Linked DNA regions of Rattus norvegicus. The protein of the gene in region 1 purifies or fractionates together with the protein of each later gene. This does not show direct contact. Links are inferred from orthologs where the notes say so. Each region holds a gene or a part of one and is shown in the gene's direction. Other genes may lie near its edges.

Region 1 (4,256 bases):
AGCCCCGGTGGTACACACCTTTAGTCTCAGTCTCAGTGCTTGCGAGGCAGAAGCAGGTGGATCTTTATGAGTTCAAGGCCAGTTTGGTCCCACATAATAAGTCCCAGGACAGCCAGGGCTACATAGATCCTGAGATCCTGTCTCAATAATAATAATAATAATAATAATAATAATAATAATAATAATAATAATACAGCAATATAAAACCAGTCTGTGACCTATCTGATTTCATTATGATGTAAAACAACGATTTGTTTTGTTTTCTACCATGTAAAATAGATGGAGATTCCGTTTTACAAGCAGCTTTTGACTCCATTTTGAGGGAGGCAGTTAAGTGCACTCCTCAGTGGACCCAAACTACGATCTGCTTGGCACCACTCACCAGCACAGATTGATAAACGACTTATTTCTGAGAACAGAAAAGATGCTATCTCATAAATTTATTGAGAGTGAATTGAGGCTGTAAGGGCAGATGAGTGTATTAAAGTCTTATCAGGGAAAACGAGCCCAAAAGCTTATCAGACACTGCAGACCAAGGAGAGGGTCTAACTCCCTCATCCATACCCCATAAAGTGGCTAACATGAAGATGAAGATGGCCTCCACACTGGCCTCAAATGCATCATGACAATCCTCCTGCCTCAGCCCTCAGAGTGACATAGTTACAGACATGCACTACATTCTACCTTTTTATTGTTTGGGGTTTTGTTTGTTTTGTGGGTTTGTTTTGTTTCGTTGAGAGATGATCTATTCTTGGAGCGGAGGTTTGTCTTGAACTCCTGGTCAGCTTGTGTCCTCCAGAGTATTTTGACCACAGCCTTAACTATCTTTTTTTTGAACAAAGTTTCTTTTTTCGAATGTGCATTTCTCTAACCTTAATCTCGCAAATTTTGGAACCGCAAGTATGAGCCATCTTGCTCGGTTCCTAATAAGCATTTTTGCTTATTAGCCCAGGCTGGCCTCAAGCTCCTAATCTTATGGCCTCCCCCTCCCATGTATTGAAATGAAGAGCCTGTACCATTATGTCTGCTTTAACAAACTCCTAAGTAAAACACTTCTAGAATGTGGGCCTTAGGTACTCTTCCAAAGAAACGGGAGAAATTTTTCCACACGGAACAAAAGGAAATGAGAAGTGTACCTCAGTGGCTCACCGTGAGCAAAGATGCGAGCCCTGAGCTAAGAACTGTTCGGAAGGAAGCGGCCTGGACGTAGTGAGCAACCTGCACCATTTCTCCAATTCACTGGACTCATCTTAAAGAGCCAGAGGTACCAAAACGAGCCTTGGGGCCCCGCCCCTTCGGGTTCCGCCCCCTCAGGGCTCCGCCCCAGCGGGATCTGCAGAGCCCAAACTTCGCGAGAGTTGCTGGCCGGGTCACATCCCCGCCCACCCACTGCTTGAGGTAGCGGGCCGCATGCGCAGCTCTTCAACGGCGCGGCTTGCAGAAAAGATGGAGTGTCCTGTGCCCGATTTTACGGAGGCTGCGGACCCTGGTGGAGCCGGACCTTACAAGAGCTCCGAGGAGCCGGAGGGTCGGGAACCGGACGGAGTGCGCTTCGACCGCGAGAGGGCGCGCCGCCTGTGGGAAGCTGTGTCCGGTGCACAGCCGGCGGGGAGGGAGGAAGGTGAGTCGGGGGCTCCGGGGTTCGCGGCTGGACTGAGGCGGGATGGCCTGCCTTCTGTCACTCCCCTTGGCGCCGGCCAGCCTCTCCCCGACGTTCCGGAGCTCCGAGCTCGCTCTCGTGAAGGGTGCAGGGCCTCGTAACTCGCTGCCCTGCGGAATTTTTCCGTCCTCCTTTCGAGGGCGTTCACTTGAGAACAGTTCCCCCAGATTCTAGGTCTTGTCCTCTTGGAGATCGAACCAGGACCGTCCCAGCCTGACTCGTAGCCGAGCTAGCTACCGTTCCCCTCTGTGCTTAATTCCATAACCCCACATTGCTTCTCTTCCCTTTCAAAGCCCTACGGTTCTGACCGATCCGAATAGCTTCATTTAGTTTACTTTTTATATTTTCATTTATTTTGTGACACCTCTCACTGCCCAACTCGTGGTGGATCAGCCTCGGAGTGACAGGACAAGTGTGAGCTTTGGAAGGTCTTCCTGAATCCCAGCTTCCTCCCGGGCTTGGTGACTGTGCCCTGACTTGCCATGGTTCTTCCTAGGTAGACCTGGCTGGCCTTGAACTTGCTTGCATGAGTCTCCTGCCTCAGTCTCCTTAGTGTGGGCATTCCTGGCTTGCACCACTATGTCCTTCGATACAGTATTTGTATGTCTGTTGCCAACATCTTATTCCACAGAGGAGGCCCAGGAGCGGGGAAAACTTGCCTCTGGCTGCTTCATCTCACGCGGTATGCAGAGCTGTAGAAGACAGTGTATTCACTTGGAGTGCACTTCTGGGCAGAAACTTGGCAGATTTCTTTGTTTGACCCAAAACTGGGTGGGTAACAAGGGAGCTAAAGGAGTGCAGAGCAAGCTGACCTCTTTCTCTGGCTCTCCAGAGACCTTTCCAACTACTTACTACTAACCCAAATGTACAGGAACTGTATCTGGGGTTTTGTGCTAACCTATCAGATCTCTGCAGAGAAACAGGAATTCTGTACTGGTTATTTTGATTGCTGAGCAGGCTAATTTTGGGAAGTTTATTGTGTTTGTGAACTGCTTGCCCTGGATAAAATAGGATTTTTTTTTTACCATATTCAAGGGAGATATGTTTAAATTTTTTTTAAAGAATGTTTTTATTTTATGTGACAATTGTTTCGCCTGCATGTATGTGTATATGAATGCCAGGTACCCAAGGGTATCAGAGAAGGTACCATAAACCCTGAAACTGGAGTTAACATTATATGCTTTGACTGGGTGTTGAGAACTGAACCCTGGTTCTCTGGAAAAGCAGTAAATGCTCTTAACCACTGAGCGCATCTCTCTGACACCAAGATACGTTGGATTTAAGTGTGTATATACATCTCCAATCTGTTCATTCTGGCTCCTAAATAAATGTATATGTCGTTTCTGAGTCTCTTCTTTAGTATTTTAAGCATTTTTTGAGCCAGGTGTGGTAGCACATGCATGTCATTTTCAGCACTCAGGTGGTGGAGACAGGATCAGGAGTTCAAGCCAGCTTCAGTTAAATACCAAGTTTGAATCTGGCAGTGCTGGTACAGGCCTTTAATCCCAGCACTTAAGAGGCAGAGTCCAGTATATAAGAAATACTCAAGTTAATAAAAAAAAAAAAAAAAAAGAGGCAGAGTCCAGTGAGTCTCTTAATTCGAGGGCAGCCTGGTGTGCAGAGCCAGACCCAGGACAGCCAGGGCTCCACAGAGAAACTCTGTTTCAGGGAGAAAAAACAAAAACAAAAAACAAGTTTGAGGGTAGCCTGGGCTATACAAGACTCTTGCCTCAAAAAGATTGTAGTACACAGTTGCCTCCTTAACCCAGATTTCCTTTCATTAGTTTGACATTCCCTAATGACTGCCCTGTTCCCAGGGCCAGCTGGACTTCAGAGCCTGAGGGATGAAGATACTGTTCTTACTCTGGAGTAGCTTACAGTCAGTCCAGGAGACAAACACCAAACACTTATGTAACATTAATTTTTTTCAAATCTTATTTTTAATGCTTTAACCTCCCTTGTAGCCCACCACCCACCAGAGGTAGTGGAAAAGAAAGGATACAGGGAAGTGGACCTGTGTAGAAAAGGTTCTCTGGAACACCTCCTGTCTGTGTTGTCTGGAAACCGGCAGTTCATAGGCTAGCAGTGACATCTCGATCCACTCACAAACACTTCTAGTCGGTACAGTCTAGTTCGGTACAGTCAGGTTAGCAACAGCAATGACATGACCTAGCAGAGATAGCCAGACCTCAGGCTCAGCTCAAGTCAGCAGGAAGAACCAGCAGGAGAAGTTCTCAGCTGTTCCTCTCTCAGAGGAGCGAAGATCAGCAAAGACACACAAGCATTGCACAGCTAGCTATACCAGCAAGCCAAGCTCTGTCTCTGTCACTCCATGGAGTCCTATTTATACCCTCCAAACACCACACGTCTTCCACTGTGCCCTGCCTCAGCACGTGCATCCCGTCAGCCTGAGTCCCAGGGAGTCCTGACAAATGCAGCTCAACTACACAGACCAGTACATATTTGTTGTTAGCAAAGAATTCGTCATTACATGCCCTTTCAGGTGCTTGCCTTGGCAGAACAGCCTCTCTCCTGTGTCTGCTTCAGTGAAACGTTCCTTCAGGAGTCTGCCTTAGTCTTTGACCTGTGTCCACTT
Region 2 (4,039 bases), on another chromosome or scaffold:
GAGCTAAATCCCCAGCCCTATGTTTGACTCTTAAAGCCACTCGAATGGGATTGCCATTATAAGGCACCAGTTTATACACAAGAGAATTTCCCTTAAAATTTGTTTAAAACATAGTGGAACCTAGAAGTTATCAACCCTCCTAATGCTGCGACTCTTTATCATAGTTCCGCGTTTTGTGGTGCCCACCAACCACAGCATTCTTTCGTTGCTGCTTCATAATTCTTTGCTACTGTTATGAATTATAATGTTTATATTTGTGTTTTCTGATGGTCTTAGGTGACCCGTGTGAAAGGGTCATTTGACTCTCTAAGGATTCATACAACCCACAGGTTGAGAACCACTGATCTTAGCTCCTGAAATATTATTCTCGATGTCTCAGTTTTACTAAGTATATGTGAGTACTCCTCTCTCTTTCCTTTATCTGGCCTATTGACCCACGTGCTTATTAAATGCTTCCTGGAGGTTGGGAAGAGCATGGCTCAGAAGGGGAGGTCCTCACATGTTTCCAGACCCAGGTTACATCTCTCCACATCTTAGGGTCTAATTTATTGAATATATTTTTGTGCTTTTTTTGTTTTTAATGACTACACCCTAAGCCTTTTAAAGTTATGATGTAAGAATAATAAGCAATAAAGTTTTGGTAACAGCTCCCCTTAATCCCCACAAAAAAAAAAAAACCCACGAACATTTGAATGTTGAAGATGGGTGTGGTGGTACACACGTTTAATCCCAAATTCTGGAGTCATAGGTAGGCAGATCATTATGACTCTGAGGCCAGCCAGCTCTACATAGCATGTTCCAGGGAACGATACATAGTGAGACCTCGAGTCATAAAACCAAAACAAACAAACAGACAGACAAGCAAACAAACAAATAAAAATAAAATGGAAAAGTCTTCTAAGCTAAGAGATTTAAAGTACAAAACTCAAGGTAGGTTTTCAAATAGGCTAAAGAGTAGCAACAAAGTATGGGTAAATTTTAGATACAATTCACCATTTTTATTAGATTTCTAATCCTCCTCAAATAGGAATTTTAATAATTTCCCCTATCTTCTTTCCCTTTCCCTCACCAACCTCTCTTCTCTCTCCTGTCCTTCACTCCCTTTCTCTTCTCTCCCTTTCTTTCCTATGGGGCTACAAGCAGCTACAATTTAGAGCTTGGTACAAGAAAACTACAATTCCCAGCTTGCAATGCCGAGGCTGCAATGCATCCTGGGAAGGAAGTGTCACGCTACTGTTTTGGCTTCGTGTTGGTCTGAGTAGAGACCGCGCAGATTTTGTCCGGATCATGCGGAACTCATTTTGCGTTAGAGACGCTGTAGCCGGCGGGATTAAAGGACAGTTCCACTTCCGGTAGCACCGGAAGCAATTTTAAGATGGCAACTTCTGTAGACACGCCTGCCAAAGAAGCTCGAAAAAGTGACTCTCGGCAGCAGAAACAGAAGCGTGAGAACCAAGGTGAGGTAGTGCGGGAACCGAAACCTGGAGCTGGGGGACTTCGAAGCATCGCTTTTCCTTCTTTGGCTGCGCGCTTGGGTTAAGCCTCCTTTAGACTGTTCAGTGCCTGCAGGAGCAATTCCCGATGACTAGGGGGGGTGTTGACTGCGCCGGCCACGTGTTCTAACTCTGTTTTTGCCAGGGACTGTCCCTGTTAAGAGTAGCTGAAGTGCCTTCTGGCTCCGGTAAAAGCACCAGGAATCAGAAATTGTGGAAGGCGCGGCCGTACTTTGTTGAGCTATGGGGAGGGAAAGTTGAGAGGATGCGGATCGGGATCAGGTGGGCAAGATAATCCTCTTGTGCGGTGAGCGTTGAGGGTGAAGAGTGAGTGAGGCGGACAGAGAAAGGTGGGGAGGGAGGTAAATGGGAAGTTTTGTCAGAACTTTTATCTGATTAGTAAATTGCTAGATGGCGCAGCTCAGTCTTTAGTTTTGACCGGTAGTTTGATTTTTGCTGCCCTAGTTTGGTTGCTTTCTTGAATTATGGTGATAGTTTTGTTTTTAATCTACCTTCAATATGAAAATGTTTTTGTAACTGTTGCATTTAAAAACTGAGTACGGTAAGTACGGCAAGTACGTAAAATAGACGCCGGTTAAAGCTCAAACCAACGTTTGAGGAATTGACAAGTTTCCAATGTGCCAATCACAGATAATAGCGTCTTTTCTGGTACCCCGAATAATTCATCGAATTTACCTATCTACCGCCGTGATGATTTTTAACGTGACGCTTCGATTTTTGCCTTTGAATCACAGGAGAACGAAAGGAGCTTCCATGCATGCTGTGTCTTTTAGCTTCTCTGGTTATTTAACCAAGGTGATGTTTGTAGGTGTGATGCTGTGTAATATTTAAATTCCCCCGTTGGTGGACATTTGAGCTCTGCCTTGAGCTTGCTCTTGTAAGCACCTTTGCGAATGTCTTCTGGTAATGCCCAAGCGTTTCTTTAGGAACAAAGGGTTAGACACTGAATTGCAGGGTATCTTCAAGTTATGCTAATGCTACTGGAAGGAGCTGTGCCGGGTTTTTGTCTTTGTTTTAGGAAAGGTTTGTTTAGGTTCGCAGTGTGAGGGCAAAGTCAACCATGGTGGGGAAGCTGGGCCAGTGCAACTCCCTAATAGATGAAATTTCTCATTGTTCCAAATTTACAGTGATTTTTTTAATTTCACTTTTGAAAATGGGTAGTTTGGTAGATAAGAAATTTTATCTGATTGTGTTTATAATTGGGTTTCACCAGTGGCTGATGGAGTTGCACAGCTTCACATGTTTTGGGGCTATTAGTGCTTCCGGGGTTGTGAATGTGGCTTTTATTTCTTTTGCCTGTTTCAGTGATTTTGTAGGGGTCTCCTTTCCCTTTTACGGATTGACAGCACTGTTTAACTTGGATCAGTACACACTCAGAATACAATTCATGTTCCCGGTTTTTATAGGATATTAGTTTGCATTCTTAAAATGAAGGTATTGAAGAATGAATGGTTTATGAGGACCCATTGTCAGGAGTTTGAACCAGGAGTCGCAGAGTGGATGTGAGTGGAAGTAAAAAGCACATTTTCTTAAGTGGGGCTGATAGCATGGGCCAAGGGCCTTGCCTTTCAGACCTCAGTGGTTTACCGAGGACAGAATGAGATTCTTTAAGCACAGATCTCTGGGAAGGAGCCCCAGATGGCATACCCCACAGACTTCCATAGGTGTGCAGATGCTACAAGATCACGGATGGTTGCTTCTCTTTGGGTCTAGTTAATGTGTAGCTATTGGATTTGAGGGATTTGTAAAGACCTGGGACAGAGAGTTTGGAGAAGTGGCTCAGGCTCTCCAGAGGTGATCTCATATAGTTGTCAGGATTCTAGGCCATTTCAGTGTCTGTCCCTCTAGCACATCAGTCCTTTCGGTTTTAATATTTTCTCCTATAAAGTGGAAATAGAAACAGTGCCTTTTCTTTTACTGTTGAAAGGTGTGCAGAAAGCTCTTTAGAAAACCTAAAATTCTATCACAGTGGTTGTTAATTGACATGGTACACCAGAATCCACTTTTAAGAATTTTACACATACACACAGTCATGTGGGGGTGGGTCTCTATACCAGGAAAAGTCAGAAAGGTTACTAATAATAAGGGATAAAGGTGGTAATAGGGTGTTTGAACCACATTATAGTGCAGTGAAGGTGACTTAGTAATTGTTATCTACTAATGCATTCCAGTTACAGTGGATACAAGGAAGTGTCCTTTTTCTCAAAGAACTGTTCTGATTAGGCAACCACCGTGTATTCAGGTGGTCCTATTACAGCATGATGGTGATAGTGGTGATGGTGGTGATGGTGGTTGTGGTTGTGGTGATGGTGATGGTGATGATGATGATGATAGAGCCATGGTCCTGATGCTGAAAAATTTAAAACTCAGGGAAACGGATACAGTACATTGGAAATGTTATGAAGATGTGCACAGAATGTGCACCGTGTGTGTGGAGGCCATTGACATGTGATGTGTAAATTCTTTCTTCTGTAGATGAGGGAGAGCTCCTCACTGTACCTGATGGTTGGAAGGAACCAGCTTTT

Evidence for each region. Proteins that work in one complex are often made in the same cells at the same time.
Region 2: the proteins of Zfp346 (region 1) and Krr1 purify together in Homo sapiens (affinity purification with mass spectrometry; 3 studies listed by BioGRID and IntAct, with this or other methods). This does not show direct contact. The link is inferred for Rattus norvegicus from reciprocal best matches to the Homo sapiens genes ZNF346 and KRR1.

The regions. Positions count from the first base shown.
Region 1 is NC_086035.1:9,525,941-9,530,196, reverse strand, and holds the start of Zfp346 (zinc finger protein 346), read left to right. Parts: upstream 1-1,446; coding exon 1,447-1,621; intron 1,622-4,256.
Region 2 is NC_086025.1:49,360,562-49,364,600, forward strand, and holds the start of Krr1 (KRR1 small subunit processome component homolog), read left to right. Parts: upstream 1-1,232; 5' UTR 1,233-1,375; coding exon 1,376-1,457; intron 1,458-1,624; exon of another isoform or gene 1,625-1,775; intron 1,776-3,989; coding exon 3,990-4,039. UniProt on the Homo sapiens protein: Part of the small subunit (SSU) processome, first precursor of the small eukaryotic ribosomal subunit.